Rhinolophus ferrumequinum: one gene and its partners. The protein of the gene in region 2 interacts with the protein of the main gene of each other region in a pairwise test. Links are inferred from orthologs where the notes say so. Each region holds a gene or a part of one and is shown on either strand. Other genes may lie near its edges.

The links.
Region 1: the proteins of GPR37 (region 2) and PRKN interact in a two-hybrid assay, tested with the Homo sapiens proteins (2 studies listed by BioGRID). The link is inferred for Rhinolophus ferrumequinum from reciprocal best matches to the Homo sapiens genes GPR37 and PRKN.
Region 3: the proteins of GPR37 (region 2) and ADRB2 interact in a protein complementation assay, tested with the Homo sapiens proteins (2 studies listed by BioGRID and IntAct, with this or other methods). The link is inferred for Rhinolophus ferrumequinum from reciprocal best matches to the Homo sapiens genes GPR37 and ADRB2.

What each region holds. Positions count from the first base shown.
Region 1 is NC_046286.1:103,100,376-103,111,754, forward strand, and holds the start of PRKN (E3 ubiquitin-protein ligase parkin), read right to left. Parts: upstream 4,740-11,379; 5' UTR 4,594-4,739; coding exon 4,587-4,593; intron 1-4,586. Other genes in the region: PACRG (parkin coregulated gene protein), read left to right, coding at 5,166-5,321. UniProt on the Homo sapiens protein: Functions within a multiprotein E3 ubiquitin ligase complex, catalyzing the covalent attachment of ubiquitin moieties onto substrate proteins. Substrates include SYT11 and VDAC1.
Region 2 is NC_046309.1:20,182,477-20,193,355, reverse strand, and holds the start of GPR37 (prosaposin receptor GPR37), read right to left. Parts: upstream 5,214-10,879; 5' UTR 4,545-5,213; coding exon 3,513-4,544; intron 1-3,512.
Region 3 is NC_046307.1:21,400,975-21,411,028, reverse strand, and holds ADRB2 (beta-2 adrenergic receptor), read right to left. Parts: upstream 4,620-10,054; 5' UTR 4,367-4,619; coding exon 3,113-4,366; 3' UTR 2,978-3,112; downstream 1-2,977. UniProt on the Homo sapiens protein: Beta-adrenergic receptors mediate the catecholamine-induced activation of adenylate cyclase through the action of G proteins. The beta-2-adrenergic receptor binds epinephrine with an approximately 30-fold greater affinity than it does norepinephrine.

The DNA of each region.
Region 1 (11,379 bases), on a different chromosome or scaffold from region 2:
TTGAAATACATACTAATTTAAGGGAGACAGTTTTCTATTTAGTGAAAACTGATATTGGAATAACCTGGTGGAAGCCCTAGGTAATTAGGACACAGCGCTGGGGGAAGGGGTGGATTGCTGCAATTCTTTTTAACCAAGAGTTTCTCCTACAGGATGAAGTAAATAAACAGGAAGGGGGGCTGCACCATAAATCAGCCAGCTGTCACATGAATCTCTTTCTTTAATATTACAAGACTTAAGAGAGAAACCATTCAGATCACTACAAAAGAAGCATTTCAAATGAGCTCATTAAATGCAAATTAAAACAGAAACACTGAATAAGCACCGGGCCACAATTAAAGGCTGAAGAAACAGCAGGTAAGAAACAATTTCCATTGATCAAAGAACTGAAAGCTAGCAGAATAAAGTATTCTGCATTGAAACTGCTTCCATGAATATGAAGCATTTCAAAGTAAGGAGTTTTGGGGTTGTTTTTTTTTTTTTTTGCATTTTTCAGAGAAGCTTTGGAGGTAGAAATGGATTTGCGTTATCTTAATACAAAGTACTTTCATTGTCACATTTCAAGCAATGAAGCTTTTGAGCTTTCAAAAAAAAAAAAACTGCAGACTTCAAAAAAATCCTTAGATATAGTTCCAAAATTGAAAAAGGCATAGGTCATCATTTGAGAGCCTCTGGACCCAAAGGACTGTATATAATTATGCAAAATATTCTATGCAAATATTTAGTAGAACTTCTTTTGTGACATAATTCTACATCATCATAAACAAAAGCTTTAGAGCCTCCTCTGGGAGTTTATAATGAAGAATGGGTCATTCTTCATCTAAAATTATTGAAATGTCAGGACAAGTAGCAGTACACAGTATATTCAACCAGAAATATAAATTCTGAGACTTTAAAATTCACCTCAACAAGCTTTAAAACAAATATGTAGGTTTGTAGGCAAATAGTAAAGTTAGGCTGCACATTCATGTTGGCAGGGCATTGGTTCCTGTTTTCTTCACTCATGAATCCCTGACACCTGGAGCAGTACTGGAAACATAATAGGTGCTCAATTAATGGATCTGCTTTCTTGAAAATAAAGCATCACAAAATAAGAAATGAGAGGGTTTTCTTTTTCTTCTTAAATTCATTCTAAGAGTTAAAATAGACTGTTTTTCATCTATGAAGGCAAAAATAAAAATATTTTTATAGGACACTGGGGAAATGGGCTCTCTTGTACACACTGTCAGGAAGGTCAGAACCATCCAGGACAGTTGTGTAACTTGTGCATTGCTCAAAGGCACTAAACCTGTGGGGAGAGGGACTAGGAAGAGAGTGGAAATCCATGAGGTGCTCTGGGGAGAATATCTTTCTGTAATTTTTCAGCCAGAGGGGCAAGGCAGCTCTTAGCTACCCTGTTGTGACAGACAGGAGTGTAAAACAGGGCGACTTACTTTAGAACAATTTGGAAATACCTTGCAAAATCCAAAATCTACAAACCCTCTGTCTACAAAACCCACCCAGAAATTGTAATATAAAGTTCTTACTTTACATAAATACATACTAAAGCAAATAAAATGCGAACACAAATATTCCTGATGGTAGCAATTGTCTATAAATTGACTGAATGCTCATTTATTAGAGAGTATTTGCATGCTTTATGTACATCCATAAAATAAAAGACTGGGCAGGAATTACCATGGGGTAAACTTGCATACGCAGATATGTAAGTTTCTAAGAGATGTTAAGTTAAACAAGGTACAGAAGAGACTATGTTCTAATTATTATTTGTTTTAATGAATCAAAAATCTTCTTAAAGAGTAAGAGGTTGAATTCAATACTAGCAACAATGTTGCACATATATCGATGCACTTCAATATCTGATACTACTCAAATACCAGTCCAGTTCTATAGGAGATTTAGAATATACCACAAATATCACCATTAAAATTTAATTTTTAAACACAAAAATTGCTAATTTTTAAAAAGGTTGAAATATATTTTTAACAGAGATGCCAAAAGTTATATTTCCTAAGTTGAATTTTCTTAAGGTTTTTCCATTCTGCTTTATATTATCTTGAAATCCTTCTCCATACTTCTCACAAAGTCATAATTTTTCACTGACTTCAATTAAATTATGTTTCTGTAGCTGTCTGGGTCAGGGCATTTAACATATCAATCATTATCCAAGTGAGAAATGTAAGTGCTTTTGAAACAGTCGCAGTGCCAAGAAGGAAATCTGGGTTTTAAAAAGGAAAAGGAAGGTAATTTTATTGGTAAAGAGGCAATACCTTACTCCTATTTTACCAAGTAACTCATTTCCTCAAAAGTGACCCAAGATTTAAATAAAGTGGAAGAGTACTATCTGCATTAAAGAAGGTATAGCAATTAAAAAGAGCACAGGCATGAAAGGGGCAAGTTCTGAGTAGCACAGGTCTTTAAATAGGAAAAAAAAACAATTCTCAATATATAGTTACATATAATTTGATCTCCAGCTGATCACTGGGTATAAGCTGTAATGCCTTTCCGGGCTCCGAAGTTTAGTCATGGAAACAGAAAACCCATCACTGTAAGACTTCCCTTCAATTGCTTCCATTTTCACTTACCTTTACCACTATTCAACATAACCAGGCCCAAAACGGACAATTAAGATTTTTATTAAAATGTGCCCACCGACAGATTTAGGCAATACAACAAGTTATATAAAATAATTCATTGCACACTGTACTCATGATTGTTATGGGTAAGGTACTTTTTGTAGGCTGGGGCATGGGTTTAATTATTTATGCTGTAAAACACACTTACTTGCACCGCGTGATGAAGAACAGCTGGAGTATGAGAAAGAACATTCTTAAAAATCCACCTTATAGTCTTCATGTCAATGCCAGTTATTGAGAGCTGTCTAATCATCACATCCAAAGATCACTCTTCCCACTTGTGTTCTGAAATCCCGAGTAAAAACTAAACAAAACTACCTAAGCATATTTCATCCGAATAGTTATAGAGCCATTTATTAGATAACAATTTAGAATTTAGTGATGATTTTTAGATCTTAGGTCCCTGTCTTTATATAGCTTTACCATAAATTTATTTCTTTTAAAATTTTCCACGCACTAGTTAAGTTGAATTAAAATAACATTTGCACAACTGTCTTCAAAATAAGGTATACTTTTTTTTCTGTAGAATACTGACAGCAAGGATTTTGAAAAATTTCCTCTACTTGGTTTTGATTCAAATTTGTGCTTACAAGTGGATCTTGTGTAACTGTCACCTAAAAAGACTCAAAAGATTCATTAAAATGTATACATTTTTCTTAACTTGGCAACTTTGAAAAAATCATGCCACGCTAGAAAATTAAGAAAACCTGACAACATCCTTTGGTTTCTATCATCGCTGCAAAGGCAGTGTCGTTAACTGGTGTGATTCACCCAGTAGTAGGTAAAATGTTTTACATGTTAACACTAATTTAATAAATAAAAGACTTAAGAAGCGCTTATCAGTGCATAGAAATCACACATTTAAAAAAATCCACCTCTCATCTTTCTGGATAGACGACATCTGACTTCGAAAGCACTTGTTGTAGTCAAAAGTGTTAAATGGTACGCATCAGGCATGATCTCCAAATAAGCTCATCAAACCGATACATATTCTAGAGCAAGTCTCTGTCACAATAAATTTCCAAATTTATTGGAAATAATAAACCATGGTGGGCACTGAGAAGCAACTTTTCTAACCACACTAAACATTCCCACTAATTTTCAGAGATAACCCTTAAAATAGCATTGGCTTAGCAATCCTGAAATAGAGGAATTTTGCTAATGTTGTACATTGTAGTGTTTATAAACAATTCCAATAGCCACTTCCAAAGCTTTCACCTAGGTCATTTTGTGTTCGAGAAAAAAATAATTTTGCATAATGAATCGTTAATTCATCATGCAAAAAGGTTTACTTGTTGTTATTATTTACTCTTAATTATTCTTTCATCTCAGACCTCCGATGAGAGATTTAAAAGAAAAAATTCGAGGGAACAGAAGTTTAAATCCTTCTGAAGGCATCTCTGATGAGCCCAACCATCATCACCAGGTGCTTTCCATTGGAGTCTAACGCTCCGCTAGGGTTTCCCTTAGAGTCCCACAGACAGTGGGTACAGACTACAACGTCTGTCTGTCCTAAACTGGAAGACAGCCGCCAAGGTGCCCCGAGGGACGGAAAGCGACGGGGGGGGAAGTACTTCCCCGGGGCCTTCCCACGGACCCCCACGGGTCTGGGGGGCAGTGCGCTCGCTGTGGGATCGCGCGACCCTGCCTTCACTTAGGGAGGCGCGCAGGCGCACACCAGGTTCCCTCACAAAGTTGTCTTCACTAGGAAGCCTGTCAAACCAGGGGCGGAGTCGGGGCTTAGAACGACAGACACACTTATTCTGCTGGACGACGGCGGGCATTGGGAAGCTGGCGGCGCTGGCTGAGAACAGCACAGACACTGCCACCCTGCCACTGACAGTTGGCACCGGTGGGCACCCAGGGATCCCCGTTGTCCGAGGCCTGGAGTGGCACCACAGCTGGGCGCATGGCGGCGCAGAGAGGCTGTACCTGACATGCACCACGTACCGATCATGGTCACTGGGCAGATGGAGACTGCTGGGCTGGAAAGGGCCTACGCGCATACTGTCGCCCGCGCGCGCCTCCCACCCGCGGCTCTCTCTCGGAGGTTAAAATATCCAGGACTCCCCTCCCCGAGTCTGGCAGCTGGAACGCACGCGCAGACGGCGCGCAGCCCCGAGCCTTCTGGGAGTTGTAGTTTTAACACAGCTTTTCCTCTCTCGGCTCGCCGCCGGCGGCCAGCCGCCCGCCGCTCTTCCGGTTTAAGGCCCAGAAAACTTTCGTCACGGCGGGGTGCGGCCATTCGGCCTCAGTGTTGACGCGTCGCTTAGTAACCAGGAAATTTAGCTTTGGAAGCTGGTTGTAGCCCCAGCCAAGGTCCAGCCCTCTTCCCGCCCCTCCCCTCCCTTCAACTCCCTTCACCTAGGAGCTGCCAAACACCTGGATCAACCTGGGCACTACGAGGGGTTGAATTTTTACCATTAACGTAATTTTTTACAATTTTTTCCCGACCTCCTTCTCACATCCGTAAAACCCACTGATTCTTTTACCACACGTTTTTATGAGAACCAGACATTTTCTAGGAAGATGGTGGCAGAAAAAGAGACCCTGAGCTTAAACAAATGCCCAGACAAGATGCCGAAGAGGACCAAGCTGCTGGCACAACAGTCGCTCCCGGTGCACCAGCCTCACTCCCTGCTTTCTGAGGGCTTCACAGTCAAAGCCATGATGAAAAACTCGGTCGTAAGTGATCTTCCTGAATTGAATGCCCTCGCTCCGAATCAGGTGACACCAGGTTATAGAGGTTGGCCGGCCCTAGCATGGATTCTGAGCCCGTGCCCTGGGTGGGCTTTGCCAAAAAGCGCCATTACTTGGCCCGTGGCAGACAGTGCCCAACATTGTGTGGAGGTCCAGGCTAGGTTGTTAGAAAGGGTTCGGAGCAAGTGATATGCCCGTTATAAGCACTTTCCTAATAACTCATGGTTTCTAGACCACCCCAAATTACTCTTAAGCTATTTATGATGCAAAAAGACCCCCTTTACTTTACTTACTGATTCCTAAACTAGCCCTACTCAGCAAAGGGCCTGATGGAAGGTGAGTCATTAGCAATCTTAAACTCTTTCGCAAAATTTGACATGTGCTTACGTACAGCTGGGAACATAAACTCGTTAGATAATCTATAGTAAAAAACCTCATCAATTCAACTGAGGAGATATCAGGATATCCTAACATTTACCCTAAGACAATTCTTTCTGACAAAATGGTGTCAGCCTGTTGGAATACTGCAAGGCAACTTAATATGAAGTGTTTTTCCAGACAGACCTTTTAAATAATATTTTTTTTTTAAATGCAAGCTTTAGTTCAGTATCTCTGGCTATTAATACAATGCATATTTCATTTCTATTATTTGTGGTAGTTAAAATATTCTCAGTACTACTAAGGAAAAAAAGGTTTAAAATGTACACAAATGGTTTAGCTACATGTGTGGTAGGTTAAAAAAAAAGTCCTTGGATCTGCTGAACAGCTTTAAATTTGGTATGCTAAACCTGGTTTTACTACTGAGTAAGCACCTATCTGGGAAAGAGATATAAATAATAAATGCAGCTTTCAAATTTGTATAATCTACACTCTGGGAGGCTCTAACATATTGCATAGCAACTCATTATGTTAAATGAATACTATTGCTTTCCAGTGTCACATTATTTGTTTTACATAAATGTTGCAAACCTAATATCTTATTCCTAAACCACATCTTTAGAATACATGAATGGAACAGATTACCTCAGGACCCCTAGGCCAGATTTCCAGGTTGCTACACAAAGTGATGTTCTGGTTATGGAATGTGTGTGAGTTGCTTCACAGTAGTTAAAATTATCGGAAATAGACTAAAGTTCCTGCTTGTTGTACCTGCAGTCATTTTGCATGTATTTCAAAGATGACTATCAGCAATACAGAATACCATAACCGTTCAAGCTAATTATTTGTTTTCTTCTGCATAATATTTATGATTAAAATCTTAGTGACTTTTCAATGTTATATGTTTTTCACAGACGTAAAAAATATTAGTTAGATTCTTTCTTTTTATAAACCTCTGTTCATAATCATGTTTTTAAACATAGCTTTACACTAAAGTCATAGTTCTGGAAAATCAAATATTTCAGTATTGCCAAATGTAATAACTATGCTTACAAGATTAAAAAAAATCTGCTTAACATGAAGCAGCCTTCTTTATAAACAACTTACTTGAGATAAATTATCTTGTTTTCATATTTTTTAGGGAAAATTTCATAGTGTAATATCTATGTAGTGTAATATTCTCTGTTGAAATCTTCAAAATAGGATGGATAATTCTTTCACTTCATTTAGTGGAAATAATAATTTTTAGATGCAAACATTATTCATCCATTCATTCATTCAATCAACAACTCATTTTTCTTTTTAAGCTAAGAACTAGTTAAACACAGTTCTGGGGATTTGGCATCAGCAAAACAAAGCCCCTGTCCTTACTACTCCCAGGAAAAACTACCAACAACAAGAAAATCTTGATAAAAGAAAGATAGACAATACCTTTTATACAAACTAACTTCAATGGTATAGGAAATAAAACCCTTTTCTTTTCCTGTCCAGTATTTATATTTCACCGCTTCTGTCTGCAGCAGTTTAGACCTTTTGGCATTATAAGTCAAAATGCCTGTCGTTTTTGAGGTTTATTTTGATTCAGAAAACAATATGCTGATTTCTCCCTTTTCTTAATTACAACCCCTTGTTCCAAAAGCCAACTCCCAAACCGTTTTTCTAGTGTTGGGTCTTGCCTTCAGTTTCCTCTTCCAAACACTTGCCTGTTAAATAAGTCAGCATTCCAGTGCTCTTCCACAAAAGACATAGAGAACTATACCTTAAGGTGTTATGTGGAGACTCCTGTTGTTTCTTTGCTAGAGCTCTAGTAATATAAGTACACAAACTTGATCATAAACAGATTCAATCATATGAGCTGTGCAAGCAGAAATCCTTCTTTAGAGGCATAATTTATGTACGGCAATGCAAAATTATTTCTAAAATAATAATAAATGTAAATGGCTAGTGTTTTAAATCCCAATGTCAACTGTTGCTCTTCAAGTAGTTCCTTTACTTCCTTGAAATTGTTGTTGCATTCTATATGAAAACAAGCAAGGACAAAAGTTCTGCAGTCAGAGAATAACATCCAAATTCATATTGTTATAATGTTTGCCTGAAAAGAGTGATATGAGATACAGAATTTGATGATTTCACCATTCATTCTCCCTTGAAAGGCCTTGTTTGTGGTGTGCTACAGCCCATATCTAGAGACCGGTAGCTCAATGTTGTACTGGCCTCGTCTCCACAGACAGCAAATGCGTGCTAGGCTAATTAATCTACTTTATGAATAAACAAGTTAGGATATGGACCCAAGGTTATGATACAGAAGCTGACTTCAATTTAATCTTTATATTACTCTTTTCTTTTTCAATAGACCATAGATGTTTTGTGCTCAAAGCTCAGCTGAATGGGAAAAATAATAATTATTAGTTTTCTTATATTGAAACTTTTATACTTACAATCATATAGTCATTCAACACACAGTGGTAATGGTCAATATTTATAAATTACATATTAAGATACTATAACAGATACCAAATAACAATAACTAAGATGGAAGTTGCTTTGCCCACATAAAAGTCCCAATCTGTACACAATCTAGGGAGGTTTGGCCCTGCTTCCCCATGAGGTAGGTCCAGGGACATAGGACGCATGTATGTTCTTGCTTCATATCCTATAGGATGGTGCCCTGGATCCCAGTGGGCTTCCACCACTGGGGCAAATCCCTACTGTCAGGAATTAGGAAAGAGAAAGCAGAGAACTTCTTTTATGGGCATTACCCAGACACTGCACCCCACTTTCATTTACATCCCACTGGACAGAATTTATTCATAGGCCCATATTTTCCCCTTTTTGCAAAAGCCTAGGAGATATTGATGCTTGCAGCAACTCCAGACCTCTATACATGCTCTATCAGGAAAAGGCCTAAGAAATTATGTAGTTCCAAAAGGGCACAATCTCCAACACCTACTTCATGCAGGAAAAAAGGAAAAAATAGGTAAGGAGCAACCTGCAAGAAGAGGCAGGAAGTCATGGAGGCCAAGCAGCTTCCTTTGAAGGGAGGTCCCAGAAGGTACTCGTCACTGCCGCTCACATTCATTGCCAAAACTTCGTCTTATGGCCACCTCCAGTTGCGGAGAGGCTGGGAAATGTAGTCTCTGACTGTTAGCTCTGTGTCCAGCTAAAACCTGAGGCATTTCATTACTGTAATAAAGGGAAGAAGGGAAATTGGGGGATAGTTAGAAGTGTCCTCCACTAGTGCTAAATATTGCTAGTGAAGATAGAGATAAGACAAGTCAAATAATTACAGTACAAATAAATACACATCTATTAATACACAAGACAGTGGAAGTACTGACGATGAAGGGACCAAGTGACAATAGCCTGACTGGAGCCCTCACCACCTTTTGTCTACGTTTTTACATATCATCCAAACTGGTCACTCGACGCCATCCACCTAACGTCTGGCTGCCTCAACCAACTATCATGGATTTTACATGAGGCTAAGTGGATGTGGTACACGTATGTAGCTCATGGCGGTCCGATTTGATCCAGGAATAGAATTCACAATGCCTGTGTGAAGGAGTGTAGACTGTGTGTGTTTTATCTGTGGGGCTCTCAGCTCATTGTAGGACAGGAGCAAGGTGGCTGCCGTCTCATACGGTGTCAGAGGGAGTGTGTGGCACAATGAGAGCAGAGGCCAACGACCTGAACGAGGCTCGGGCTGGGAAAGCTTCCCCGAGAGAATTGTGTTTGCCGAAATACTATTGTATAAGAGACGAGGGAGACCGAGAGGAAGAGGTAGGGGCGGTGGTAAAAGCTCAGAGACAACACAGACCAGGCCTCCGGCAACTTCGGTTTTCTTTCTTCATTTTCTGCTCTCTTTGCCCCAAATTATGTTGTAAATTCCATTATATACGTATCTAATGTTCTTTAAAATGTCTCATAGTCCTTAAATTGTATATGTTTTTATAGAATATATAAGCAAAGTATATAAGTACTTTATGAAGAGTACTATGTACTTAGGTACACGTTTATACAGCTTGCATATTCAGTTTGTGCGTTATGCATAATTATACTTTACATGAAATTTTATGGATTCTTTCTAACATGCTAATATTTTACATGTCATTGCAAACTCCTCATAAGCATTTAAAAGACGTCATAAAATTCTGTCCTCTGAATAGACCATAATTTACTTAGTCATTCACCCAGGATGCTTTCAGTTTTTTGCTATTATACATAATGTTGAAATGAATATTTTTATATACATTTGTTCTTCTGTATTTTGACGTATCTCCTTGAATTACAATTTCTGAAGTAGAATTACCGGGTCAGAGATCTTAAGATTCTGACTGGAATGAGGGTTTCATTTATACGGACACCTGCAGTGCTTGACAGCCATTCTTTTCTCTCCTGCGGCCTGAGGTACTAGGCCTGGGGCTTCTGAGCACCGCAGGCCCTGCCTGCCATCCACCCGCCCACCTGCTGCACATTGAGGGAATCAATATCTCAGCACCTCTGAAACACATTCATGACACATATTAGAAGTAGATTGCAAACATCCAAAGCTGTGGTTCTCAGGTTGCAAATTGAAATCACCTGGAGAGCTTAAAAAATACTGATTCCTGGGTTTCACCTTTCAAGATTCTGATTTAATTGTTCTTATTGTTTTAAAGTTGAACTAATTAGTGTTTCCTAGAGATTCAGAACACTTGGGATAGAGTATTATCCGAAGATCTCAAAAAACTATTTTCCAAATAGCTATTCAATTTTTCCGGAGATATATATAGAGCAATGTTCTATTCCCCACTGATTTGTTGCCCTTTTGTATCATTATACGTAATACTCAGAAATAGTTGAGAGGAATTTTTAACCTGTATAACACAATTTTAATTATTATAACTTGGTAATATGTTTAGAAACTGGTGAGTATAATCTCTCCTGTCAATTCATATACAGAATGTTGATTTTAAATTTTAACTTTTTGCCAGTTTAATCTTCCAAATGACCTTTTAATAATATGCAAAACTGAAATATTCCTTTGTAATTGCAATGATCATATAAATCACTTAGAAAAAAATTCTCACGTTTTAACAGTGTGTTCACTTGTAGTAATATACTTATCATGTTATGTTTAGATTAATATTTTCCCTATAAGTTCATTTATGTTTATTTTATATCCAGCTACCTCATTAGCTCTTTTAAATCTCATAATGTTCTCATTAAATCTCATTTTTTATTTTAATCTTGTTTTTCTACATGTTGAAAAATGCAAATATACAAATAAGTATAGAAAATAATAAAATAGTCATGTATTTATCTAACTTTAATGAATAATATTTCCTTATAATAATACATATTTTTAAAATAAGCTCCTGGTTTTATGGATAAAATAAATCCTTCCTAAACGAGCTATGGCCTCCTTCTTTCTCCATACCTCAATCCTTCCACCCAAGATCCTAAAGTTCACGTGTATCATTCCCAAGTATATCGAAATGCATCTATACATTTTGTGGCGGTGAGTGTGTGTGTGTATGTGTATAATTAAAATTCAGTATTCGTCCTTCGTGTTGCCTTTCCACCTGGGCTATTGTTGCAGTGCATGTTTCTGTAATGCCTTTTCACTCAGATTTCATTCATAAATAGGGGACTGATGTTAGTCTAAGTAGGTTTCCGTGCAGTT
Region 2 (10,879 bases):
TCAGACATTATAAATCAGTAAGAGGAGTGTGGTTAAAAAAAAAGGAAGAATAGCCAATACATAAAATAATTATAAGAAAGTGAAGAAAAGGCAAAACCTAGGTATTGAAAGGAGATAAATGTCAAATATTTTTAGAAGTCTTGTGGTTAAGAGGAACAACATTGGGAAGGAGCAAATTTTGAAGAAAGTTTAAACAAATGTAACATATCTGTAATGTCCTTTACCCATATAAAATACTTTGTTATTTTGATAACATAAACTGTACCTATGTAACTTTATTTGATCATTAACATAATTATGGTTGGCACTTTAAAAGTGCAGTTGTCTCAGATTATTGAAAATTTAAAACATTTAATGAGCTACCACCCACTGTGGAACTTACTGTCAATTTATGAAAAGCAAGATAAAACTTAAGAATCTAAGAAGCGATCAATTTCACCATGTAGCAATTGACGCTGATTATTTTTTCCTGCCCGTTGAAAATCCTTTTTAAAAGATGCCAAGGATCAGGAATAAGGAAACACTCACTGAACAACTGTGCCTCATAGATGGTCGTCTAATAAGTAAACATCAAGTGTTGAGACAGAGTCTGGTTGCCGCTGACTACGAGGCTTAGGATGATTATTTCTCTTCTCTGAGCCCCATGTTTCATCTTTAAAATCAGGGGGTTGGATTAGAATGCCATCTGGTTCTACAAGAACACAGCAATTCAGAAGCTACTGTAATGAGGCTGTTTCCCCACCCAGACTGCCTCCCCACAGAAGTCCTTCCTTCGGGAATGAAGAGCTGAGGTCCCCAACCACTGGGACTATTAGTAGTCCACGGCTCTTGCCTGCATCCCTCTCTAGGAAGTGCCCTTGACAAAAAGACCCACCCAGCTCAAGGTTATGCCCCCTTCCTGGGAGTCTCTTGCATCCAGTGTCTGCTCCGTTAGGGGACATAAAGTCTGGGCCCTCTTGCGTTCACTCAGGTTATCCCTGCAGGGTCACCCCAACCTTAGGGCTCCCTATGTCTTTGTGTCTTTGTGGCATGTGCATCACAGTTCAACCCCTTCTGCCCAATCCTGTTTTCTCCATTCCTTACATACCTGACATGGAATAGGCACTAAATCTCTGTGACTTCTGTGGAAATAACAGTGCCTCCTGGAGGCAGAAATGCTTTATTTTGAGATTTGGACTGTATTTCTTGTTCTCATAATCAGGAATCGTGGAGCTGATACTACTCCCCAGTAATTATTTTCACGAAGCAAGCTAAAACATTATAAAATTATTTCAGAAGACTAGGACTAGGCAGGAATGTAGAAACACAGTCTACATTTTAGATTAAAGATTAAGATTTTCATTCCTGACTTGAATGGTAAATAGTATACATTTTAAAATGTATATTACAGTCTAATTTTTCAAGAAAAAAAAATGAGTGAACCTTTTCCCCCCAACCTTTGCTTCTCTAGACAATAAAGCCTGGTAACAATAACTAAAAATTAGGTGTATAAAGAAGGGAATAAAATACAGAGAACAAAACATAAATACAATTGTGCTAATAACAAGAGAAGAGATAAAAACAAAATATTTTTAAGGAGCAGATAATTAAATTGGAAGATGAAACACAAATGAAATTACAGCATACAATATTTTAAAATACTGAGACTTAGAAAGAAAATTAAAGCCCATGCGTAACAAATACCATCACTCAAAACTCATAGGTCTCATTAAACTAAGCAAAGTTTGTATATTCTTTTCTGAATTTGGATGGGATTCTTTTCTTTTAAAGTTGTTTTGAAGAACTTCGGTAATGTTTTTTTTCTTTCCTCAGTTTCCTTTGTCTGTATACTTTATTGTTTTTTCCTCTAATGATAAAGGTTTCTACATATCCGGTACATTTAAGGCACGCCAACACACTCCTCTCTTACTGGGTAACTCTCCTGTTCACTTTGTAGCTTCCTTTGGTCTCTTCCTTGCATATGCCAATTTCTCCTGCATTATTCAAATCATCAGAGAAATTTGAAATTGAAATTGACCTTGAAAAGGTAACTGGTAGACACATATTCTCCAACAAATTCAACTACCTCCTCTGTAATTCAAAAATGAACTGTTTACCAAATAAATTAGATGTTTCAGAACTACTTGGGGCTTGAGAACAAGAGAAATCCTGGATCCTGGTAAAGCTGCAACAGCTGATTTAGCACGCATGGAATCATTCTGCATCTGATCCCTGCCAGGATAACACAGGGTCTTATTCACTGTCTCTTGCCTTGGTCCTTCTGAGTAGGTACTGTTTTCTGTTTACTTATCCCCTAGCTTTAGGCCCTGGAACAAAGTTGAACATAGTGTCACTCGCCCTGGTGCCAGACGGGATCAGAGGCTCTGAAATATTTACAGTTTCCCTTCTTCTGCTTCCATAAATGAAACAGGCAGTCTGAATGGGGGAAATCAAGGGCCAGCTGGCTAAAACCACAACTGGCAACAAAGCACTTGGGCTCCTTCCAAGAGCTGGTGTTTAGAGAGAGGCCATTTAAAGAGCAAATTCCAACGACCGTGATAATGCGGCAGGACACCTGCTATAGCATGAAACAATAAAACTGTACTCAGAAAGAGTTTTGTTTCCCAAGTTTAGAATCTCTGAGATGCCCCCTCTTCTTTAGGAAATTTCTAGTCTTAGAGTCAATCCCTTAAAAGAGCCAATCCTTTACACGCTAACAAATGACATATATCATATACTTTGAGAATGTTAAATAAAGTCTGTGCCATGATGGATAAAGTGTTATTTTTACTTAAGCTCATTCTCACAAAATAAATAAAACTGTTAAGAAATTGAGAACAACAAAGAAACAAGAAATGACATAAGAATTGAGATGGGACAGCCATGGCAGAGAGCCAAAAACACTTAAACTAATTTGGGAGGTTATTAATATATCATGAGACCAACTGACAAAGAAAGGGAGATTTCCTTTGTTAAATAAAATACTATTCTAATTTTGCGTTTAAGAAACAATAGAATAACCTTCTTGGGGGTGAGGGATAACCATGTTGAAGCACTGTAAATCTAGTCTTATAGATAAATGATACAGGTTTTTTCCTTGCTGAGTTCTAATAATGATAACCATGAACTGGCCATTTAGTAACTGGCCATTTATTACAATCTCTGCTAGGTACCAAATCAAAACTATATATGACACTATACTAAGAGAGATAAACTTGAAATCTAAACAATTCTATACATTATGAGATAATTATTTCACAGTCTGGGAAATGTGTTTCAAGGTGACTGAACAAAGATGCCCAGATAGATAGATAGATAGATAGATAGATAGATAGATAGATAGATAGATAGATAGATAGATAGATAGATAGACAGATAGATGCATGAATAACTGGCAAGAAAAATGAAGGAGGGACTCAGAGAACAAGTGAAGGGGCTCAGCAGCCAGCTAGGTGCATGGAGCAGAAGTTCTGAGGCTGTAAGTCCCAGAGGTGTGTAAAGCCAGTAGCTTGAGACTTCCTGGAAGGCATTACCTCGATGTAGGGCACGATCTTGCAGGAGAAGTCCTCCAGCAGCCACTTCTTGGTCAGCTCGTGAAAGATGACGAGTGGGAGGCAGAAGAAGATGATGAGGAAGTCCCAGAAGGCCAGGTTGGCCAACAGGGAGTTGGAGATGCTCCGCATGTAGTAGTTGTGGCACACGATGCACATCACCGCCAGGTTGCCAATGATGCCGGTCCCAAAGATCACCACCGACAAACACATGACCGCGTAGGCTCCGTAGGACTCCTGGGTCAGCGGGTAGAAGGGGTTCTTCAGTCGCAAGCGCCGGTTTGTGCTGTTTCCCCGGCGGGGACCCCCGCGTTCGGGGATCCCTTCACCCGAGGACCCATTCTGGGCCAGTGCCCTGCCGGGGGGTGCAATCATCCGCCTTTCGTGCCCAGACGGTCCATTGACCGTCTTGGGTGGGAGGTCGTGGTGGGAAGCCTGGAGTTTCCCGGCTCTCCTTGGCCAGTAATAAAGGTCGCTGGCTCCGGGTTCTGTCCTCACGCTGGGCTCCTGACTGCGCCCGGAAATGCCACTGCCTCTTGGACCCTTCTCCTCCTCCTCCTCTTCTTTGGTCTGAAGGATGAGTTGAAGAGCCGTGGGGTTCCCTCTCCCCAAAGTTCCAAGGGGTTCCTGACCCCGGGTACCTTTCCACCTCCAGGCGCCTGGAGGCCTGGCTGGGGGACCCGAGGGCTCGGCTGGTGACGCCCCCGCCCCTCTGCTCGCACCTGGGTCAGCTCCGCGGGGGGCCGGTAGGTCCCACGAGGGCGCCACGCGCACTGCTGCCTCCTGCTCGTCTTTCCTGGGCGCACGGGTTAGTAGAAGGTATCCTGCAGAATTCCCTGGTCCCCAAGTGTCCCTGCTGCGACGCTGGTTCAATGTAGGTGAACAGCTATCCCCCAGACAAGTTTCGTTCCTGGGCGCAGGGGCGGACCCGAGGGCAGGAGAGGCAGAAACCTTGAGCAGGAACAGAAGCAGCAGCCGCGAGGTTCGGGCAAGAGGCGCGCCTGGGGTCCGCATGGCTCGGTGAGGGCGCCCGGCAGCCGCGGCTCCTGCTTAAGATCAACACCTGCTGCCAAAGTTGCTGCTGAGAGTTAGACACATGTCACATAGTCACCCCCGCCCCGGCAGCTGCGGACGGGAGATTACGGGGAGGTTGGGGGATGGGTCTTGGGGTCACAACCCTCCTGCTCTACAATCCTTCCTCGTTCGGTGCCCTGTGCATTTCTCAGCCAAATCCAACCTGAGCGCTGCGTATCCCCAAGGTTCAGAAAGGGACTCGCTGCTCCCGGTGGCTGACCTTGAAAAGTTGCAACCAACACCTGACTGATGATTAATGTTGCGACCAAGCCCCGCGCTCCTCCCTGCCCTGGGGTGATGGCCTTCTTGGTAACGGTTGCTCAGCCTGTTTACATCCTTTCGATACTGCTTTCTCCAGCAGAGAGCCGAGGTCGCTAAGGCAAAGAAAAATAAGTTCCCCTCCTTCAGAGGACTAGTAGCTGCAAGCCCGCTCCCCGCTCGCTGAAAACAGGTTGCAAACAGCCAGACGCAGCGCAGATGCGCCCAGGAAACTCTTGCTCCCCTAACCCCAGCGGCTAACGAGGCAACTGCTGCCCAGGAGAAGCGGGGTTCGAAACCCGCGGCCACTGCCAAAGTTGCTTCTCCTCCTGTTCAAAGTTGACCAGGAGCAGCGCGGGCTGCAGGGCTGCGCGTCCCTGCCAAGAAAGGAATCGGTGGTGGGGGTGGGGAGGGCGGGCGGTGCTCCTCAGTGGACAGTGCCGGCGGCCGCAGGAGCTTGTTGTTGCGACAGCGGGCGCTGCCCGGGCGGAGAGTGTGGTGCCTGGAACCGCCGCGGGCGAGGCGGTGCATGGCCGGGGAGGGGGTGGTGGCCTGGCCTCTCCCCGCCACTCCAGCTGCTGTGCGCTCCGGCGACACCAAGCACTCGGCTCCTTGCCTCCTCCCCCTCCTCTGCCTCCTCCGAGAGATGCTGGTTTGTGGGGAGACGGGATCCCCTGGTGGTTTACGACTCACTAATCCCACACACGTTTCATTCAAGCCCTTTGTAGCGGCTTTCCGTCCTAGGAGCTGGAATCCGGGAAGGAACCAGGGTGGAGGTGCGGAGCCTGCGCGGCTCGAGGCTAGGGATGGGCGGGACACGTTAATTCCCCAGATGTCGGAACCAGCCCGACCGGTCCCGGAGCCCGGAGAAGGAGGAGAGACCAGCGATCGCTTCCAATCCGCTGTGGCCGGTGCGCATGCCCAGGCCTCCGGCCCCAGGGAGTAGTAAGGTGAGGCGTTCACCTCCTTAGGTATTCCCAGGAGCTGAGACCAAAGCGAAAGGCAGCTCAGAGGTTTCAGAGAGAATGAGCAGTTCCGAGAGCGGGATGCAAAAGAGAGAATGCTCAGTATACACCATTACCTTTAACGCGGAGTTAGGAAGCGCCCTACCAGGCAGGCGTTCCTTACCGTGTTTCCCGGAAAAAAAGACCTAGCCAGACAATCAGCGATAATGCGTCTGTTGGAACAAAAATTAATATAAGGCCCGGTCTTATTTTACTATAAGACCGGGCCTTCGGGCCTTATATAAAACCGGGTATGGTATAATATAATATAATATAATATAATACAATACAATACAATATAAATACCGGGTCTTATATTAATTTTTGCTTCAAAAGACGCATTAGAGCTGATTGTCCAGGTAGGTCTTATTTTCCAGGAAACACGGTATACCACCATCTATCTGTGCAACTCTTAGCACACAAAGCAGTATAACAAATCCTATGTATTATAAAAGTATAAAATATATGGATGGGAAAATATACTTCATCAACTTCAGAATATTAGTCCCCCTGGGAGACAGAGAGATGGAAATGGAATGGGAGAAAGCTGTGAATGTAATATTTTATTTCTTAAAATGAAAATTCAGGAGGGTATAACCTGGGTTAATTGTGGAACAACAACAAAATGTTGCTAAAATAAAACTGAGGATATTGACTTCCTTGTCACCTCCTTAGTTTCAAGTTTGGGTTATTCATGTAAGCTATTCTCATATCCTTGTTACTCTAGGTCACATTAACATGTCACTAATGTCCATCTCTACCCAGAAAGGATGCCAAGCTCAACAGGGGAAATACCCTTGCCCCCTTCCCGGTGACACCACTGTAACTGACAGGTGCTCGGCCTGAGCTAGGCATCATTCTCAGAGTGGTCAGCTGCAGCACTGAGTCTCCAGTTTGGAGGGTGGCTTAGGAAAGTCCTGGAGGAGGGCTGCCTGTGCTTGTCTGAGAGGTTACCTCCTTATTTACAAGCAGTTCCCTCCTTAGCCTGAACAAAGATGCGTTCCTACTTGGATGGCTGCCATGCTCTGGCTCCTTAAACAAAGATGGATTGTGACCATGAAGAAAAATCAACAGAGTTCCAGCCATCCTGTTGGAGCCTGGGATGATGGTAATTATCTACTTTTTTGGGAAACACAATTTTCTTTATCTGTAAAACAAGGATACTGATATATGCTCTGAAATCCGCCCACTCAAGTTGTTACGATGATCAAGCAGATATGAAAATACTTCATAAATGCACAATATTTGTTGTTGCTTTTAGTAGTTCAACTATTTCTTGCTCTTAGCAAAATTTAAATGCCATCAACAACATACAAGTCTTGAAGGAGATCATGCTTGATAAAAAAGTCTAATGAATTTACTTTCGAAGAAAATTTAGAAAGCATTCACTGCAAAAAGAAAAACAAATGTCTTTCAAATCTTTCCCAAAGCTTATCTCATCTATAAATATAATTTTAAAGTGGGAATTATCCTAGCGTATCTATTTTTGTAATTTCTACTTTAGAAAAATAGATCAGAATATATGTTGGCTAATCACTGTTTGGTTTACATCAAAGGTCATTTATCTGTACAAGAACTGATTTGAACATGGATTTTTCTGTGTCACCCTTCCACAGGGTTTATAACATATAATATTGATTTTTTATATACAAAAGAAAACATGCAAATTATTACCTGTCTTGGCATTTCTAAATAATCTGTTAACTTCATTTAGTGTTTCGTGGGCTGAAATAAGACATATAACAAAGTAAGAGAAATTAGTATTTCAAGTTTTAAGATACATCTTTGAACAGAAGTTTTACTCAGCACCCAACTCACGGCTCAAATAATTTTTCTTTCCTTTTGGCTCCAGAGAATTCAAAAGGACCATTTCCCGAAAAGAAAATTTAACATGCAACCAATAGATTATTTTCTGAGCCTGAAAATGTCTTTCTTTTAAAAAAAAGTTTGTGGTTGCAAACTTCTTCTGTCCCTAAATTGCTAATTGTTAGTTTAGAAGCTTCTACTGACAACCTCTGCCTCATAGATAGAATTAGTGGGAAAAATGGGTCTGTTTGGGATAAAACAACAATATGATATGTGTCTATCTTAAAAATCAAATATCAATATTAAAGTATTCAGAATTTAATATGAAACAACAATCACTAAAATAGTCCTTTATGATAGAAAAAAGGAATGTGTCTGTTGGGCTACATAACATTTGTTTTGACCACTGCACTTTACTGCACAGCCAAGTCTTTTTTCTTTTTTTAAATTGGAAAGGAAGTTGAATGCAAAAAGGGGTAAAATTAAAGATGAATTAACACATGTATAACCATGTATAACGCATGTATAACCAAGCTGGTTCACAGACTGTTTTTTTGGGACTGGCTTCATGAACTCAATACCCTTCCCCGAGCATCCATTGTTAGAGTAGGGAAGGCTTTCATTTAGACTCCCAGATAACCAAGAAGCCAATGACCTCCTCTTGTATTAGGGAGAGGACATACATATGATAATATGACCGAGACCCCTTCCAGTGCTCTACCTTCTTAGGGAGGTGACCCTGATAATTGCATGGTGTCCACAAGAGTGGCTTATAGGCAGTGTAGAGTCAGGTAGGTGTCAGGATTCCAAGATGCTTTTCAGCTCACCGAAGTAAAGACCATAAATTTTTCTATGACAAAACTTCTATTAATGTATCCACTGGACTTCATAAAAGAATTTTATTGATAAAATAAGAGACTTTGGCTGCTAAAAAGAAATTAAAGAACAATAATTCAGTACAACCCTTCATTTTAGAAGGAAACTGCGAAGTAAGGAAACTGGGTGAGTTGTCTCCTCTGTATCATGCAGTGCAGTAGATACTGACCTTGAACTAAAACCCATGTTCTTTGAGAGTAAAGAAGAAGGGTGATCAGTCAGTGGGTCAGAAAGACCTCCTGAAAGAGATGGATGGTAGAAGTTAGTTACTGAAGTAGGAGGAAGAAAAATTCAAGTTACAAGCAGAGGGACTGACTCCAGCAAAGACAGGGAGAAGAGAAAAAGGAAGTGTGTGGAACCAGGAGCAATTCAATGGTGCTAGGAATAATGCACGAGCATTTAAAAAAAAAAAGCTTAATGTTAATTTTATTCAACAATTCTTATCGCTTACCTCCTCTGTGCCAGAAACTGTGCTGTGTGCAAGACATAGAGTGGTGAACAGACCAGCTATGGTCCATCTCCTCAAGGAGCTTACACTGTAAGAGAGAATTCAATCAAGTGAATAGGCATTGAGGGAGAATCGACCATGACCAAGTTAGCTCTAGAATAGAGAAGGTGGGTGGCTTATGAAGAAATACAGAGCTATTTTATGCAGACTGCTCAAGTAGGGTTAAAGTAGATGCTCTTGAAGAAGATAGTTTTACATTGAGCCCTGCAAGTCGATGAGGGCAGCGTGGGGCCAGGGAGAGCTGGACATGAAGAAGAAATTAGGACAGAGCTGAAATTCAACAGGTTGGACTTGCCATGGTGGGGGCCGTCCAGTGTGGCTGGGAACTGAGTTGAAAGTGGAAGTGGGAGAGCAGGTTAGAGAGGCAATAAAGGGACACATGACCCCCTTATGAGGCAGCGAATTTTCGAGAACATCCCCCTGTAGGAGGCCTTACGGAATGCCTGAGGGAGAGATGGGAGTGAATGTAGGTCCAGGAAACTAATCGGAACCAGGATCCATCCTTTGTCTCTGCTTCTTCCTGCCAGTCTCGCTTCTTTCCTTTCTTCCAGGATCCCAGCTTCTTTTGCACTTCAAATATATGATAGAATACACCTGCCAACACGTTCTGCATTTACACATTAAAAACTCAGTCATTAGAGAGAGAAAGATGCTGACTTTCCCCTTTTTAATTCCAGTATCCTGGGAAGGGACTCAGCTTGGCTGGAGGACCATACCTGAATCTCAGATGTGGCCAGAGGGCATGCACACATTGAAATAGCAGACAGCTCCACGGACACCTCAAAGCTATGTTATGCAGAGAAGTGAGTTCACCGAATTGTGGGGACGTTTCCCAGTCTGAGAAGGGATTTTGAACTGGAAAAGTCGTGGGTCTTCAGTGAGTAACAAGGTTGTTTCAATGATTGAAAAGGAAACATACGTGAAACCAGGGTGCATCTGACATCCAGTGGGGATTCAGTAACTGTTATTTAACTCATTTGTTTTAGTTGTTTGAATATCAACAGAGAGATTGACGTTTTTACAAGGATCCCTTGCTTTGCCTTACATCCAGCCACACATACTTTGTTGGGAAGTATGCCCACATAGTTTATTGTCCTAGTCCTGGCTATGTCAAATCGACCAAAGCTTGGCCAATTAGTCCCACGCCTGGAACTTTTCTAACTGGGAAAGAAACAAGAAGATAGGACATGGGAGCCGGTGGCCCCCATATTTCCAAAGAGGATGAAGGCACATAGAAAAGCAACCTGTAGCTAGGAAGACAAATGAAGGAGACGGAAAGAGAAACCCAGCAGAACTACAGACTATGGTTCTGTTCCTGAAATCCAGCTGCTCCTCAGTCATTGGAGTCCATGAGACATTCCAGTGGGTTTCTACTACGTTAGGTTGAATGGTGGCTCATTGACTTGCAATTGAATTTGTCATTGCTAATATTCATTCTCTATCCTCACTTTATTACAGTTTTTGCTATACAAACTGCCGACCTTTAAGAAAAAAACTTGTAAATATCATCATTGCAATGACTTATAATGTACATTTTAAACTTAGTAGAATAACCATAGGTAGAACTTTACACAACAGCAGAATATTGCACAAAATTGTTAAACCATGGAAGTTTTCATACCTAGAGAGATTTCCTCTGTAGCTCGATAAAGGAAGGGAATAAAGAAGGGAAAGTCATATCCCTTTCACACCTCTACCCACTGAATTATCAGAGATCAGCTTGAAACACAGCACTTCTGTGGAGATGTATGGGAAGTTGACTGATTTGCCCCCTTTTTCTCTGGGTGCCCTTAAGGACACACAAAATAGGGGTGTGGGGGTCA
Region 3 (10,054 bases), on a different chromosome or scaffold from region 2:
TGTCCTGCCGCTGTGCACACCTGTCAGCCTGCATCTCAGGATAAGGTTCTCATTTGACAGAATCTGAGAACTTGCTGTCCAGGCAAAGAAAACTTTATGACGATGAAGCCAACACAAACCTTATGTAACCAACCTGTCAGCAAACAGGAACAGAGGGACACCGACAAATTCCTGCCCCGCAAAGGAAACAAAGGAAAACAAAAGGAGAGAGAAAGCAAGGGATGGAGACACACCTGAAATGTTCCTGCTTGTCAAGACACTTGAAACTGATCAAAGTTCTTCAAGTATTCCTAAAGGGACATGCCCACGGCTACCCTGCCCGTTAGCTACGAATCTGAAGTAACATTCATGGCTGAACTTTTAACTGAAATGATGTCAGATGCTCTTCTAACCAAAAGAGGACATATACAACATTGTGTATTAATAATATTTATTGTCCATGGGACTTACAAACGAGGAAAGTTTTCAACCTTTTTTTTTTTTTTTTTTTGACATAAGACTATGGGAAATTTCTACCTGGAGTGGTTTGAAATTTCTGACAGGTCATAAAGAGTGAAGGAATCTCCCAGCTTCCTAAATGCTGAGGACATCCTAGGGGATCCTTTTGGGTAAAAGATCACATCTTTCTCTTGTCCCTAGAGCCGATTATTTATTGCCTGAATTTTCTGTTAAGAACCCCAAAGCAATAAAAACATCCACTGAAATGAATTTGTTTTGTGACAGCCCCAGAGAAAAGCCTCCACAATTGAGGGTAAGGGCAGAATTCAGTGAGTGTGTGGTAGAGAGAACGTACCAGCTCCCGCAGGCGCCTCATCTCTGACACCCCTGGCTTCTTACCTTCGGTAGCTCATCCTCCCTCACAGGCTTTTGGTCTCTTCTGATGTCAAATGCTTTCTATGGGCTCTTCCAACTCCAAGATCCCATGAGGCTACAAAGAGTCTGGAGATGAGCTGGAGAAGCTGCCTATATCTTTGGGTGTGGGGCCCAGAGCAGGAGAAGGAGAACATGATAACAGATATGAGAGCCCTTGGAGAAAAAGTGAAAGTACTGAATGGCAGACACTCTTCACCACGGCACATTCCAAAATCATGGACACCTCACTTTCTCCTGAGAGCTCAGGGGTCACCCAGCCACCCATCACTGAGCTGACAGGAAGCAGAAGAGGCCAGTGCTTTTCTGGTTGGGGACCTTGGCTGGGACAGAAGGGAAGAGAAAAGTGGAGTCAGCTTCATGAGCGAGTAATGGCAATGAAGCCTGCAGGCTGATCTCCAGGCTGGCGTTGCCAAGGAGGACGATCCACTCGGTCAGACCTGGGCCAAGCTCTGGCTCAGGCGCACAGGCAAAAATAGAAAGGGGGTGGGAGAAGAAATGTGTTTACTTTTGTGATTTTCCCTCATGGGCTTCTTACCAGCAATATCGTCTCTCCACAAACAGGCAGTAATGGCGCCCAGGCCTGGCCTCCATTGATAAACCCTCCCAAACGATTCACATCTCCCGGTCAGTATCTGGCAGCTGGAAGGTTAAGGTCAGAAGGTAGCAGGATGGAGTGGAAAGAACACGGGTCCCGGCTCTGTCACTAACCGACTGAGTGAACCATGAAAAATCCCTGTCTGAGATGGCAAAATAAAGTGCTTACCTTACACAGAATCTAAAAACCTGCTTAGATTTTTAAATTGTACCTGTGGTTCTCAATCAGGGGCGATTTCACCCCTCAAGGGGTATTTGGCAATGTCTGGAGACATTTTTGGTTGTCACAACTCAGGGGGTGCTACCGGCATCTCATAGGTAGAATCCAGGGATGCTGTTGAACATCTGACAATGCACAGAGCAGCCCCCCCCCACAGAGAATTATCTGGTCCAAATAATAATGCTGAGGTTGAGAAATCTTGGTGTATACTGAAGTGATGGGAGTCAAAGGCGGGGTGGGGGGGGGGACAGAAGTAAAGAAAGAGGAAGAGAGCTAAAACCCTGTGTCTAGGTCTGAGGTGTTCATCAGATAAGTGTTTTCCAGCTTTTCTCCCTCTGACCAATGCCCTTTCAGTTTCCCTTGGAATTACAGGGTGATGTGTAGTAGCTTTTTCACCCGGACGCCTTCCTTAGCCCTCAGATGCCAAGCCCTGATGCAGCACAAAGATCTCCACTAGAAGACATGGCAGAGACATAAGTATAAGCAGCTAATAAGCAAGCAGAATTGGAAGGTGGGTGGTAGGGGTGCATGGAGGGACACAACAGATGCTTGTAACTCCATTTCTATGAGTCAGTGTTTCTGATGTAACAACACAGAATAATCACCATAGGACCAGCGAGATGAGCTAGGCTGGGAGCCGGCAGAACTGACTTAGGGGCCCTAGCGTTAGGAGAGATACAGGTGGGTAGCTGCAGATTCAAAGGCAAATGAAAGGGTTAAGCAATCAGAGCATGTCATTCCTGTGCCATTCCACATTAGGTCACTGCGCAGTTATTACAAATAGTTACCTGCCGTCTCCAGGGGGGGAAGCAACCACACTCCAGTCAAGGGATTTTGGAGAAACAGGTGCAATGAAGTCATGGTCAAACAATTTATTTACTGTAAACTTTAGACTTTGCTCAGGAAAACAACTGAAGCTACCCCTGAAATCCCTGCCTACAACACCCTGTTTCAGCAAATAAGAGGAGCGGGGAGAGTCCATGTTCACAGCTGCAAGGTCCACGAGAGACTCAGGGTCCTCCAGTCCAAGGGTGCAGGAAGGAAGCTGTCCTTCAGATACAAATTACCAGCAGCAATATATTACCCCTAATACTTGACCAATGAGGTAGATACACAGAAAAGTCATCAAAACACAGCAGCCCCAGGTCCTCTGGGACCGAAGCCCTTCAGACATCAACTTGCAAGTTCCATGCAAAGAGGAACCAAACTATACAAGAAACAATCACTCAAATACGTTTTCTCTTTTTTACAGCTTAGAAAAAACAAAACAAAACAAAACAAAACAAAAAAAAACAAAAAAAGGCAGAAGGATGTCCTCCTCCTGCACATCTCTATACAACTTTATTCTAAATGCATTACACTCCAATAATTAAATAGTCTGTGTAGTGTTTTGGGGGGGGGTCCTTAAAAAGTAGAAAAACTGCATTAGAGCAGTGAGTCATTTGTACTACAGTTCCTCCCTTGGGAATCAATGCTATCATTAGGCACAGTACCTGGACGGTTCACAAAGTCTGCCTTGCCTGGGGCATCCTCACACAGCAGTTTGCGGTCTTTCTCCTGTCCCAGGTGATATCCACTCGGCTCCCCTGTGTAGTCAGATCTGTCCTGGCTGTTGGAGCAGCCATTCCCATAGGCCTTCAAAGAAGACCTGCGCAGGCACAGAAGCTCCTGGAAGGCAATCCTGAAATCCGGGCTCCGGCAGTAGATGAGGGGATTGAAAGCCGAGTTGACATAGCCCACCCAGTTTAGGAGGATGTAAACTTCCTTGGGGATGAGGTTATCCTGGATCACATGCACGATGTTGACGATAAAGAAGGGCAGCCAGCACAGCGTGAAAGTGCCCATAATGATGCCCAAAGTCTTCAGGGCTTTGTGTTCCTTCAAGTAGAACTTGGAGGACCTGCGAGGTACGTGCCCGCTCCTCCCATCCTGCTCCACTTGGCTGAGGTTTTGGGCATGGAAGCGGCCCTCAGATTTGTCGATCTTCTGGAGTTGTCTTTTGGCCACCCGGAAGACCCTGGAGTAGACAAAGACCATGACAACCAAGGGCAGGTAGAAGGACACGATGGAAGAGGCAATGGCATAAGCTTGGTTCGTGAAGAAGTCACAGCAGGTCTCCTTGGCATAGCACTCCATGGCTTCTTGGTGCGTGGCCCGGTACCAGTGCATCTGGATGGGTAAGAAGGAGGTAAGACCTGACACAACCCACACCATCAAAATGACCACCCGGGCCTTGTTCTTGGTCAGCAAGCTCTGGTATTTGAAGGGTGTCGTGATGGCAAAGTAGCGATCCACTGCAATCACGCACAGGGTCTCAATGCTGGCCGTGACGCACAACACGTCAATGGAAGTCCAAAACTCACACCAGAAATTGCCAAAAGTCCACATTTTCATGAGGATATGGCTGGCCCCAAAAGGCACCACCGCCAGGCCCATGACCAGGTCCGCACAGGCCAGCGAGGTGATGAAGTAGTTGGTGACCGTCTGCAGACGCTCGAACTTGGCAATGGCTGTAATGACCAGCACGTTTCCAAACACGATGGCCAAGACGATGAGGGACATGACCATGCCCATGCCCACCACCCATGCATCATTCCGCTCCTGCGTGCCGTCTTGGTCCGGCGCATGGCTTCCGTTGGGTGCCAGCAAGAAGACGGTGCGGTTCCCGGGTTGTCCCATGGCGCGCAGGCTGGCAGGTGAGCGCACTGGCTGTTGGCTCACTGGCCGCGCCTCAGAGGGCGGACCTTCGGCAGGGCGCTGCGGGCAGCGAGGGGACGCCTGGAAGCCTCATCCAGCGGCCTGGGAGTGGGTGTGGTAGGGGCGCGTCCTGCACTCAGCTTGTGGGGTGCTCTGGGCTTCAGGTGCCCGTCAATGCCAGCCTGCTATCTGGAGAAGCCGCCTCAGAGTGCGCGCTGCCCGTTATGTGCACAGGACTTTAGAGGAACTGCCTTCCCGGTGACGTGCGGGAACTTTCCGCCAATGACACACGGGCAGCCCCAAAGGGGCGAGGCTCCCTCCCCTTCCCGCCCCTCTCCTCCCTTCTCCCGCCCCTCCTGGGGCTGGCCCGGGCGGAGCCCTCTGCTCCCGGGGCGGGCCACCTCCCCTCCCGCTCATCTGGCTGGGCCAGGAGGGCTGGAGCTGGGGCTGGCGTGCTTACCAGCCAAGCCAGGAACTTTGGGCTCTTCTGTGGCTGCTACCTGTCCGCCTTGGGCGCCTGTGTGGCCTGAGGTCTCAGGACGGAGAGCAGTACATGGGCACTTCCCCATAATCGGAAACAGAGACGAGTGCCCACGGAGACACGCATGGACAGGCACACATGCACCCCAACAGACAAGCTCAGGCTTATACCGACACTGAGACACACCCGTCCAGCGCACCCACAATCACACGCGCGCGCGCACCAAAACCTACAGGCGCAGTCCCTGAACAACACAGAGATAGGGCCAGAAACAAACAGAAGCACCCAGAGCACAAAGGTATGGGCACACGCAGAGAAAGAAGTAAACAACACACAAACGCTCACTTGGAGGCAAGCAGAGCGCCCCATCCAGGTACCCAAACCCTACACCCATGCACCCCGACCTCCACGACACTCACCCCCCGCCCCCGCGAGCGCGCGCGCGCGAACACAAGCATATTCCCTTTCAAACATTTGGCAAGACCACAGGAGGTGACTTCAACAGCTGCCGATTTCCTCAGCACGCTCGCTGTCAAAGTACTTTTGGTGCTCTCCTTGGAAATGTACAGGCATCAAGACACAATTTCACTCTTTGGGTTTCATTTGGAGCTGGGCTGTCTTGTATGTGTTTTGGATAGAAAGAGAAAGTTGTATGCTTTAATTTTTAATTTTGGGGAGTGTGGCATCACTCCCTTATTATTAGTTGAAATGAAAATGTGTTGAAAATGGAATTAATTTTCTTTTTACCCCAAGGCCTTCAGTAATCCCATTACAACTGGAAAAATTATTTCTTTCCTCTTCTAGGAAGTTTGTAGATCTGTTGGATTGAGCCACTTGAAATTGCTGCTATTCTGTGACTCTTGACTTTAAAAAATGGCAATTTCATATGACAGTTTATTAGGAATGTTAACATGAAGGACTTTTGAAGCCACGGAAAGCAAAAGATAATTGTTCCTTAAAAAAAAAAAAAAAATGTCAAACCAGGCCTTCAAACTAGGGTTTTTGTCTATGAAATACTATCCTTTGTATCTGGCATGTGACTTTACTGTTAAAAAGAAATTAACTTCCAGGGTTTGATTTCACATGTATGAGTAGTGTCTTTGAAAAACTGAAAGTATTTCATGCAGGGTAACCAACATACTTTGTAGATTACATAATAACATAACAATGGCTAACGTTTATGGAACATTCTGCCATGTGCTTTTCATGCATTATTTCATTTAATCCTTCCCACAGTCCCATGGTGGGGGGGGGTACTATTTTTAGCTTAATTCACAAATGAGGCTCAAAGAGGAATTTAGCTTGCCCAAGGGCACAGGGTGAGGCAGTGTCAGAAGCAGGAGGTGAATCCAGGTCTGCCTGAGTCAAAAACCCATTTTTTAATCCTTTCAATGTACTGTGTCATCATTCGCAGAAAAGGATGGAGTATAGGGAAAAAGGACTACAACTGGAATTGGAATACCCTAGCTTCAGATCCTCCTGCCTTAGAACTTTACAGCTCTCTTTCCTTAGGCAAATCAAAAAGATGGAGCCTAATTTCCTCCATCTCTAAATGGGTAATAAAGTCACTTCCCTTGAGCTGAGTGAGAATCAAACGATATAATAATAAATGTGAAAGTGTTTTTGCACATATAAATGTCAAGTGTGGGTTATAAATGAAATTTATATAAATTACTCAGTAGTTTAGAATATGTTGTTAGTCTGCTCTAATAGAACAATAAAATACTTTAGGACAAAAGTAACTTGGACTTTTACTCCAAAAGCAAAGCTCAGAAGCAAAAGTTAACCTATATGCCCCCTTTAACTTCCTTCACTTGCAGAAATGGCTTGCAAAGACAGATGCCTTAAAAAACAAATACTTCCCATAAAACCCACAAATATTAAGGATCTATTATGTTCACATAGTTTTCAAAATATACCCACCTCATATTTGTGTGTTCCAAAATTGGCTCTGGTATGATGCATTTTAGGAAGCGGCAGTGTCTGTTATGCAACAACGTTTCTTTAAATATACATCTACCCTGAATTGTAGAATTAAGTCATTTAAAACCTCCTTCCTGTTTGTGAAGCTATGGAATAAATAAGCATATTGTTTAACCTTCCCATAACAAAAAAAGAACAAAGAAAGTCCTTTTATGACAAACACTAATTGATCATTTAGACATACACATAAGTCACTTAAAAATTTAACATGGAATATTTTGGGAAACACCTTTTTAAAAACCCAGGAACACTAAATCAAGAGGGGAAGACGGCTTATGTCAACAAGGATGGTCCAGACCTTTGCCCACCAGCCTTGCAAAATGGACAATTTCTCTGTCTCTGTCCCTCTTTCTCCCTGTCCTGTGTTACCAAGCTGGTAGGAATTTCAACATGTTATCTTCATGCCAAGAGTCTTCTTCAGACCTCCTCTTAGAATTATAGGATTAGAGAGAGTTAGAATGGGAGAGAGTTTCAATAGATCATCTAGTTTATTCCCCCCGCTCCAGTTTGCAAATGAGGAAACTGAAATGTAGAAATAAGAAGTGTCCAGGGGAAGGTGGCAGGGAAGCCCAGGAGTCAGGTCTGCTCCTGCCGTCACATGTTTTCACTGCTCAGTGCTCTACTTTGATTTCTCAGCAGAGGAGTTTGGCTGGCACTGTTTATTGGGCTTGTGGCCTTAGAGAGTTAATGCTTCAGTTAAACTGGAAAGTTCTTAGTAGACTAAATATACCTTTATCTGATGGAAGAAAAAGCAGGCTTTTTAAAATGGTGATTGATAGTGTCTAATTACATATTTTGTCAATCCCTTAAGACATTGATTTGTCATTTCCTGCCTGCCAAACAGGAAAACACACACACACACACACACACACACACACACACACACACACACACACACTTTGATTTACCAAATGAATGTTTGAACAGGAGTGAGGCTCTGTGGTACCAGGGAATGCCCTCACACCAATAGCAGGACGGCTTAGAAAATCTTACCCTGGTCTTGGTTTAGACAACATTCATTCCATCTTCATGATCCTCTGTGCAGAGAAACATTTGTAGATTTCTTTCTAAATGATGGTCTTAAATATCGGTCTTTAATATTTATCTCTGTACGGTATCATCATGTTAAGTTTATATTAAATGAGATTAAATGCATGTAAAGCATTTAGCATGCTGCCTTAGAAGAGGGATAACTGTTACCATCATTATCTTCTTTTGAATCAAAATGTATATATCAAGTACATATTTGTCTTTTCAGATCATATTGTAAAAGGACCCTTTGAACATAGGTAATGAGTAATTTATTTTAAATTTGAATTGCTCCGAAAAAGAATGAAAAAGGGCACAAAGCTTGGTTCCTTAGGAAGAAGAACAATAATGAAAATCGGCATTAACATTGACTTATAGAGCTCGATGGGATGTTAGTGGTATTTGAATGAAGCATCTCACGTCTAGTCAGCTCCTTATACAATAGCACCCGCCAAAACTCTTAGAGAGCCACCTCTAGTGAAAGCAAGCTCACCAGCTCTTTTGTCAGGGTATATTTTTCCAACTCTTCAGATATTGAACTGAACTTTATCTTCTCATAGCGTCTACCCGTGGATCTTAAGTCTGCCCCCTTGAGGCCATTTCAAACAAGTCTCCTCTCTCTTTAACTTTGGGGCGAGTTCCTGAGATTCTTCTGAGCTCTCCTCCTCAGGTTAAATATTCCTTGTTGCCTTGGGTCTGGAGTCTCCTTCGCCATCCATGGGTTTGTCGATGTCCAACCTTAACATCAATACCTGGAATGATCCTAGAACGAGTTATCAAACAAATCAATTTGCAGTTGCCTTGGCAACCATGGAGTAAGCAGAGCAACCAGCAAAGCTTTCAGAACAGCTGATTATACCAGATGAATTTAATTTCCTGCTATGCTAGCGTTTTATGAGAGACATGCTAATAAATTTTTCCGCGTCTCAGGGGGACTGAACAAAGGGAGATGACATTAAATTAACGCAGGAGAGACTTCAGTTGGTCATATGAAAGACTCTTGTCTGAGGAGATTCAATTATTCAAAAGGACTAAACTCTAGTAGCTTTTCTCAGTTAGAGTTTTACAAGGGAATTAAACCACACAGAATAATTGTTTGAGTGACTATTCTTCCCAGTTCTCCCGAGGATGGTACATAGCTATTACCCTATAACTTCATAGAGATGAAGTGATTACATACAATGTAGTGGATGCTTTAGGGCATAGGGCTTAATTCTCTTGCTGAATCTGAGTGGGATTGCTTGGATGGAGTCTCCTTCAGATTTGGGACACATAAAACATACACAATAAAGCGTGTATATTGATGAATGTCTCTTTGTGATGGAAGCACTTTGGCGCAGAGGAGAGAGCATGGATGGAGGTTGGTAGAACTAGGTTCTGGTCCCAGAACAACTATACTGTTATACAGAGGATGCCAAAAAATGTATACACATTTCAAGAGAGGAAAATTGTATTAAAATTGTAATACTCAGTAGATACCAATAACAAAGAATGAATACAAGTCCCGTTTGACTTCTGCAATTATAAGAGGTGCTCAAAGTGGTTACCGTCAGCGTCCAGATAATTCTGATTCAGCAAACTACTGCTTGAGCAACATTGACCAAAGTGTCCACTTGTATTCTTGTTTTTGGCACCCCCAGAATATAACCTTAAAGAAGTCACCTTCTTTCTTTGAGCTTCAATCTTCATCCATGAAATGGGAGTAGGAGTTTGGGCTCAGTAACATCTAAGAGACTTCCTATTCTAAACAGCACTAGCCTATGATGGGAAGGAAGCATGCTGAGGGCCATTGAGGAGATGAGTTCCTGCTCTGAAGAGCTACTGAGGAGTTGGCAAGCAAAAACTGTCAATATCCTACAAAACAACTCAGTTATTGTTTCTCCCTATTTCACCATCGTGATTCCTGCTATTCTGAGTAGCAGGTGTACTGTCATTTACTAAATATTTTTCTTGATGTTGATTTACTTCTAAAACTCAAATACATTTATTTTTAAAGAAAATTTTGTTTTCCTTCCATTACCACATGTGGGAGACTAGTGTCATCTGCCATAAATAGCAGGTAACCATGAGCACGGAACAATGTTAATAAATTCTAGCTAGATTTTGTTGCCTGCCAAAGTTCTGAACCTGAGTCCCTCTCTCTTTTTATTGAAAAGGAAGATTAGTGAGTCCTGGGG